Bombyx mori: one gene and its partner. The protein of the gene in region 1 interacts with the protein of each later gene in a pairwise test. Links are inferred from orthologs where the notes say so. Each region holds a gene or a part of one and is shown on either strand. Other genes may lie near its edges. The genes, in order: GTPase Era, mitochondrial; trimethyllysine dioxygenase, mitochondrial.

What was found.
Region 2: the proteins of GTPase Era, mitochondrial (region 1) and trimethyllysine dioxygenase, mitochondrial interact in a two-hybrid assay, tested with the Drosophila melanogaster proteins (2 studies listed by BioGRID). The link is inferred for Bombyx mori from reciprocal best matches to the Drosophila melanogaster genes CG7488 and Tmlh.

The regions. Positions count from the first base shown.
Region 1 is NC_085128.1:7,078,256-7,082,682, forward strand, and holds the start of GTPase Era, mitochondrial, read left to right. Parts: upstream 1-1,574; 5' UTR 1,575-2,101; coding exon 2,102-2,290; intron 2,291-2,753; coding exon 2,754-2,878; intron 2,879-3,565; coding exon 3,566-3,740; intron 3,741-4,123; coding exon 4,124-4,306; intron 4,307-4,427.
Region 2 is NC_085119.1:4,779,514-4,784,014, reverse strand, and holds the start of trimethyllysine dioxygenase, mitochondrial, read left to right. Parts: upstream 1-1,669; 5' UTR 1,670-1,746; coding exon 1,747-1,786; intron 1,787-3,840; exon of another isoform or gene 3,841-4,023; intron 4,024-4,320; exon of another isoform or gene 4,321-4,501.

The DNA of each region.
Region 1 (4,427 bases):
GACCTGAGACTGAAGAGATGCCGCGCTTTGTTGAAGCGGTACGCGGGAAAAAAATATTGGGAAATTCTTTTTTCGGATGAAAATATTTTTACCGTAGAAGAGAGCTACAACAAACAAAATAATAAGGTGTACGCACACAGTAGTGAAGAAGCGAGCAACCGTATTCCGCGTGTCCAACGAGGTCATTTTCCATCCTCGCTCATGGTATGGTTGGGAGCTTCTTATTGGGGCTTAACAGAGGTACATTTTTGTGAGAAAGGTGTAAAAACGAATGCAGTTGTGTATCAAAATACAGTCCTGACGAACCTTGTGGAACCTGTTTCTCATACCATGTTCAATAACAGGCACTGGGTATTCCAACAAGATTCGGCGCCAGCTCATAGAGCGAAGAGCACACAAGACTGGCTGGCGGCGCGTGAAATCGACTTCATCCGGCACGAAGACTGGCCCTCCTCCAGTCTAGATTTTAATCTGTTAGATTACAAGATATGGCAACACTTGGAGGAAAAGGCGTACTCAAAGCCTCATCCCAATTTGGGGTCACTCAAGACATCCTTGATTAAGGCAGCCGCCGATATTGACATGGACCTCGTTCGTGCTGCGATAGACGACTGGCTGCGCAGATTGAAGGCCTGTATTCAAAATCACGGTGGTCATTTTGAATAAACTTTAGTGTCATAAGAATCTATGTTTTGTTAAGCTCATTTTGGTATATGAATGGTTACATAATGAATAAACGGAATCTATTCGGTCGGCATCTATTGATCATGACACTAATCATAAATACCTCTTTAAAATATGTCATCAAAACATATTTAGACATTCTGTTTAGATATTTCGGGAAAAAGGCTACCGACAAAATCTCTTCGGAACTATTTAAATAAAATAGTTTTATTCCGCCGTGAGTAAAACACTATTGTAAATTCGTTAAATATTTCATAATTAAGTGATTTTAGAGAGGAAGTCACAAGGAATGTCGTTTGTAATTAATGAATAAATGTTCTGTATGTGTTTTTTATTTCACGCGGTCCCTTTATAAGTTTAAAATTTGAATCACTCTCAAGTGAAAGTGATTCAAATGGTGCGGCGCACCTCCCTTGAGGTGCGCTGCGGTAGTGTGTTACGGACTTTAGAGTCAGCAAAACAATTAAAATAGATTGTAATAGTCTAAGAAAAACACGTACTTAAAATACGATAACATTTAGCATGCTGGAAATGGGCAGATGGCACTGTACTGCGCCATATCTTTATGTTTTGCGACAAACGACAACTTTATAAAATCAGTGTAGCAACTTTTAAAAATCATCACATCGTTTACTTGGCAAATTCGAAGGACGAACTTGTCTTAGATTTCATACATCTAAATCATATCATATTTGCACATAACAATATACCCACTTACTTCCCATTAAAGTATAAATTCTACAAATAAATAATACTCAACAATATTTAAAATAAAATGAGCCAAGAACGTTTATCGATAAAACCTGATAACATTGAAATCTTTTGTACAGCACTAAAACCGTCATGTTTTGTGGTCAGATGACGTCACAATGGCACAAATTTGTTGTTGACGTTTCATTTCCATAGGTTTCCTACTTCAGTGACTTTTTGGCGGGAACGCGAGGAGTGAAGTTATGTGATTTGTTTAATTTTGTTTGTTTTGTCTGTTTAGTGTTTCTTCAGGTTTAAATGTGTAATAACGGTGGTTTTTTAACTGTTTAATATCTGTGAAAGTGCACAAATGTGGGAAAATGAAACAAAGTCGCTGGACGTAACTTCTCGGGATCCTCCAAAAAGTCCACTGAAAAAATAAACTGAATAATAATCTCAGTAAATGACCACCATTTTACTGAGATTATATTTTATATTTCATCCCATATCATCTCATTTCATTTCACTACATATTATCATTTTTCATAAAAATAAGAATATAAATTAAAATAAGACATGACCTAAAGGTCTTAGTTACCAGGTCATAAAATTCCTCAAAAAAAAAAGAAATGGAAAGATAACACCTAGATTTTTAAACACATAAAATTTTTATTAATACACATCTAAATGGTTATTTGTAATTATTACTATATATCACATAATAACCATGGCTACGATTACTCGTGGGATGTGTGTTTTTAGTTATCGTAATATGCTCCCTCGTCGTATCGTTAATTATTCATTTCAACCACAACATGCTGAAAATAAAAACATAGGTAAAATCGTACATGTTGCGATTATTGGAGCCCCAAATTCAGGAAAAAGTACTTTAATAAACAAAATAATTGACCGAAAGGTGAGAATTTGAATTAACAGGCTATTATTAAATTAACGATTTAATTATTTTTTAGATAATATGTTCTTTCTTTTATGGACTTTTCTTTACAGTTCAGGCCATGTTATAATATACTGTGTTGAAACACCAAAATCCTTAAAACAATTGTATTATATATTAAATTATATTTTGTGAGGATTAACTGTTAATTGCATAATAACATTTATTTAAAATGTTATAAATATTTTTTTAATTATTTATAATGTAAATGATAACAATGTTATTTTTGTATTGGGTACCATTGTAATTTTTTGGTATATTGGTATTTATGGGAACTGATTTATGTTTATTGATACATATTAATTTATTAACTATGTGTAAAGTACTAAAATTACTATTACGTTATTGTTAGATATGTTTTTTTTTCATACACATATTGAAAAGAAAAAAAAAAACTCCTTCACAATATTGTTTTTTTCTATAGATATGTGCTGCTTCAAATAAAGTTCATACAACTACCAAATTAGTAAGAGCAATGTGTTACTGCAATGACACACAGATTGTATTTCTGGATACACCGGGTGTTGTAACTGATAGAGAACAAAAGAAGTAAGTAGCTGACAGGGCACACCTCCTGGTGGAAGAGAGTCTTGTGAGCCCACATGGGGTGGTACCAGCATGCTTATTTTCATCAAAGGCAGTAGTAATGCATTTTGACTTCAAGGATCGGGCAGTCATTGTACTATAAAACTGAGACTTATCTCTCAAAGTGGTGATGTCAATTGGTAACCACCAAAAGTACCATACAATATTCTAGATGAACTGGTTGGCACATTGTGTTGCTATTTGATCTAGCTTATAATTTAAATTGCCACATGTCTCAAATTAACCCATGTTCAGAATGATAATTGTATATGAATATAGGAAATTAATTGTTTAATAATTAAGGTAGTTAATATTGTTTTATTGTAGTGGTATTAGTAGATGGAACAGCTCAGGTTTGTTTCTTTAAAAGAAAGTACACATACTTATTCTTTTTCATTAGAATTAACTTAAATTGTATTTTGATTACCCTCAGGCAGCCACATCTTGGTATTGAAACTCTTAAAATTTTTATAGCATTTGATTAATGTGGTTTATTTTAGAGTGGGCCATAAACAAAAAAAATCTTTTCAATGAGCATTTATTTTCACAATTTCAAGCACTGTGAATTGTTTAGCATGAAAAAAAAGAATAATTTTAGTTAAATTCAATAAAATTACCTAATATCACTAACATCACTCTTTATGTTCACAGATACAACCTCCCACCTTCAATGTTAGGATCATGTCACAAAAGTCTCAGATGTGCAGATGTAGTTGGTGTTGTCCATGATGCATCATGTAAATATATCAGAGAATCTTTACACAAGGATGTTGTTGAAATGCTGAACTCTGTACAAGATATGCCAAGTTTTCTTATCATAAATAAGGTATTGTAGCGATCTCAATGATGGGAATTTAATCATAATCACAAAATTTACAAGATTTACATTAATTTTGCTTTTTGTACTATTTCCTCTTGTTTTATTATTGAAATTAAATAAATCTAACACTAAAGGAGAGATGGGATTAAAAGTTATGATTTTTTTAATGCTATTTTTACTAAAGTCAAGACGTACAATTAATTTCAAAATTTACACACGCATCAAGGACAGATGACAATAACTTTAAATTTCGCTCTAATATCTACCAGTGGGAACAGAATAAAAGAAAATAATTAATGAATTGTTACTTAGGTTTGCTATAGTGTGTTTTAGTTTTTAAGCTACACACATTTATTTTAAACTTATTGGCAAACTTTTTAATCCCTTAGGTTGATAAGTTAAGGTCAAAGAAGCAGTTATTGACTTTAGTGAGGAATCTCACTAATGGATTTATTGCTGGAAACTCTATTCCTGGTCCCACAAATCCTAATAAACAGGAGAGAGGCTTCAGTCATTTTTCGGATGTGTTTATGGTATCTGCTTTGAATGGTGATGGAGTTTCAGATATAAGGGTGAGTAAGAGTAGTTTTATAGACACTATACATTCATATTAGGGTAAATCATTACCAATATTCCTCGGTTGTATAATATATGTACATATGCATATATGATTAAGAAGTCGATTTCTAGCGT
Region 2 (4,501 bases), on another chromosome or scaffold:
CATTTTCATATTCGTGCTTATAGCTAGCAATTTATTTAAAACATAATAAATTTTGATGCAAAGCCGTCCTATCCCTAATTTCACCCATAGATAACAGATGGCCTAGTAAAAATTATTTTTGCGCGTATTATTTTTGCCTACGAAACAGTGCAAAAGTTAATTCAAAACTCATTATCTCCATGTTGACTATGGCAAGACTATGGCCGCATTTGCGCTGATGGCCTCAAATGTACTATATATATAACCTATTCATATCTATTAGAGCTGATTTAAGCGATTGTTGTGTGTGTAATAATAAATAATAATAAATATCTTTTATTTTCGTATTGTTTTAAAATAACTTTTGACTATCTTTAGTGATAACAAATTTAAAACAAACTTCGGTTGGTTACTACTAACAGTGACGTCAATATCAAATCGAGAGAACACGGAAACATTAAATAATAATTAAATATCTTGACGGAGTGTTTATGTCCGGGAGCAAAAACTTAACGACGTTTGACGTCTTTGATTTTAAATAAAGCAATTTTTTTTAAGTTAAATATATATGTATGTACATATACTATGTGAGTCACCGGAACCTATAAAAAAAGTGAACATCGCTCTCTACCTTAATAAATTAGATTGTAAGCTAAGTTGCGTTGGATTAAATCATCTTTACGCTCTGCCCCTGGCATTGCTGAAGTCCATGGGCGACGGTAACAACTCACCATCAGGTGGGCCGTGCACTCGTCTGCCTACAAGGGCAATAAAATATATATTAATATTATATCTATTTAATATAAAATATATATATTGAAAGGCGAAAACAGCTATAACAAGGGAAATTATAAAAAATGCGTTTGTGAACATATTGACGTCATAATAACAGGACATACAATTATAGGCGAGTAACCTTTTTTCCTTACCTATTCGCTGGTATGGAGAGCATGGTATGGAGCTATTATTACAGCTATGCACGGACGGGCAGATGAGCTCACGGGCTCAACCTGAGAGAACTTGCTAACACTAGCCCTAGCAAGAGGAGAGCTTCGCAGAATCTACCACCGGATCGGAATGGCGACCCACTGAGAAGACTCGCCGTAAAACGCAGTTAGCTGTGAGTCAATTAGAGTTATTAGCGCTTGTCCCGCAATCGCATATAACTAGGTATATAGGAAGCGCATAAGCAGTAGTTTTACCTCAAGCACCGGTCACCGTGCTCGTCGAACCCGTCGCTTGCGACGAAGGCCTCGACGAGCGAATAAACTCATAGACACAGCCCACTGAGTGTCTCGCCGGATCTTCTCAGTCGCATTTCCGATCCGGTGGTAGATTCTGCGAAGCACCGCTCTTGCTAGGGCCAGTGCTAGCAACACTCCGGCTTGAGCCCCCTGAGCTCACCTACACGTCAAGGAGAAGCTGAAATAGCATCTCAAAGCTATTAACACAGGTAGGAGAAAAGAAAAAAAGTAAGTTTTTTAAGTAAAAGTAAGTTTTTCGTTTGTATCTGTGGATCTCGTAGGTACCGAGTGGCCGAAACAGCAGCGTTTCAATGAAAAAATAGGAACAAAGTGTGTGCACTAATTCAATTGATAGTAATCGTTGCCGTTTATTGACCCGGCTGTTTCGAACTCTATTAATCATATCGTAATTGTATTCGTCTTATTATATAATTAAATTCGATAAGCTCGTCTCGATAATTAGCACGACAGTCGTTTAGTTTCATATAAATATCAGTCGTCATGTAGCATTAGTTGAGAAAAGATGGAATTCAGTGTCGGATTCAATGAAAACAGTGCGAAAAGTAAGTTTTTTTTTACGTTTCAATAAATTAATGATCTTAATTGCTTCAAGTTTTGTATGGTAAGTAAATTAAATGTATGTTATTTTTTCCTTTATAATTTTAGATCAAGCGTTTCATTGTGGGAATGAGTTGCTCGCTCCGGGCATTTCAATATTGTAGTAATTGTTACGTTATAATAGTCATTGTAAAAAAATCATATTTAAAAAAAATCTAATATTAAAAATAATAATAATAATAATAATTTCATATTTAAAAAAAGAAAAAGACATGCCCGCTGAGTTTCTTGCCAATTCTTCTCAGGACGGATGCTAGTTCTTGTGAATTGGCGGTAATTCTTTTGACGTTCAACAAGTATGTACCTACTTTCATGTTGAATAATGTTTTTTGGATTTTATTTGATTAGTTTTTATGGAACTTGACTCTATTGTTTTTATGGCCTTTGTATACAGTCGAGCGTACAGCTCGCCTGATGGGGAGTGGTTACCGTTGCCCATGGACATCAGCAATGCCAGGGGTACAGTCAACTTCCTACCTGTCGCATAACTGTACCGTGGGTTCTCGTGTTGTATTCTCGGTCGGAGTCAGTATATTTGTTCTTGTGTTTTCTTGGGTTTTTGCGTGTTGTAGACATAATTCTAGCTACTTTTATGACTTAATATTGCATTTTTTATGGGCCTTAAATTTTTTCTGACGTTTGGAATACTCCACAGCCCTCATCGTCACAAACGACTAAGGTGTTATTCATCGATATTTAAATAATGATCACTATCTATTTTTTTTGTTTTAAAATGAATATATAGAAAAATAATATCGTGACAATACAAAAACCTGAAATTGAAACATAAAAGTAATGTTGCTAGCCTATCTAAGCTTAGTTTGAAATTTTTGCTTATAGAATGTCTCTTTAAGTGGTTTTTTCAGACACCTGAAAAAAAAATAGGTTGTAAATAATTTTAGTCACTTGAAATAAGTTTGTTTTTGTTCTTCCAATTTATTTGCCTATGAAATGAGGGCATTCGCATCGTTCGATATGAATAATGCAATGCGATGTAAAAACTAATGACATTTCTGTAAACACCAAATATCACCGCATTCCATCAGTATCTCTTGATTGATAAATTGCTTAATTAACCGATTTCATAAAGAAACATAAATCAAGTTGAATCAAATGGTTAAATTAATTCAGATAGGCATTTCTTTTTAGTTAACAATTGGTCGTATATTCCACAATGTTTTCTTAAACGCATTTTATTAAGCCTCTATTAAATACACTTTATAATGACAATATCATTGATTAAAATTTGAAATTTATGGTACAGTTGAGATTAGAACACATAACTGAAAGAAAAACTAATATACAGTTAGATAGATAATATTATGCAGCTTAAATCTTCATGCTAGGAGTTACTAAGACTACTGTATCTCAAAATCCGTTTTTTTGTCCCCGATCATCTTCGATCAACAATAGTAACTAGATAAAGGGATACGTACAAAATTAAAGCAAAAACTGTCCGCGTGAATATATACTTATATAGCTACATTCGTTTACTAACAAACGGAGAAAAAAGTTTTGAAACACTTTTACGTTCAAACTAATAACAACTATGGCACCTAATAATAAAGTCACAAATCTCTAAAACATTATCTAATACTTACGATCATTCGTCACATAAAACGAGCAAAGCAATAAATTACTCCTGTCACTTACAAATAAAAAGACATATTTTAAACAACTTTTAATGTTAAATCAATCTTAAAGGCAACAAATAAAGTAACTTTTCCCTTAATTGCTCTGAGAACTAACATCGTTTTGCTTTATTTATTTTTGCTTCTTGAAATGCCGATTTCTATTTACTACAGGAGGTAAGGGAGTCGCGCTTAACACTAAAATAATTTATTAATGAATTAAAGTAAAAGTTTAGTTGTTTACTTTTTATGTTTTGGAAATGTATGTGTGTTAGTATCTATACATTACTTATAATTTTATTAGCGTTAGGTTTTTGTGTAATATATATTTTTAAGTTTTCGCGACCAGTGCACATAATAAAACAACGTTTAAACGGTTTCAAGCGTGGTATTTTTATTACAATGTTTCGGCCACGTTTCAGTAGCCGTGAGCACGGAAGGCAAAGATGTCCAGTGTCAATAAGCGGAGATCTTAGCTGGCTTATAAAAGTCATCTCTTGTTTCTATGGCGACAATCGAGATCCATTCTGCACACGTGATTGCTAGGAAAGCTAAAATAAAAAATAGAAAGCTAAGTATCTAATGAGAGTCCAACAAACAGACACAAAAGCAGCATTAACCAATTTTAACCAACTAATTTTGAAGTGCTGCTAACAAATTTTAAAAAATTATTACAACACAAATCTACTCCATGCACTTACTGTTCTGTTAAGCAAAAGTTTGTCCATGTGTTGGCCGAGCCTTGGCCAACATTTGTAGCGGTGGTTAAAAATCGGTAATTTTGTTCAAAATTTAATATTATTTATAAGTTTAAAGCTTACAATATAGTTTATACTTCATGTACTTACCGAATGTAAGATATTCCGGCCGTTAAATTGCTTTTTCGGGCCTTATTTTTGCAACTTTTGAATACACACTGCGGTATTGTGAGACGGGTTGACATTGGCTGTGTTTGAAGTGAACTAAACAAAATAAGAGCTCACATTTCAAGTGCGCTGTTATTTGACGAGACGGATTTTATGCACCGAC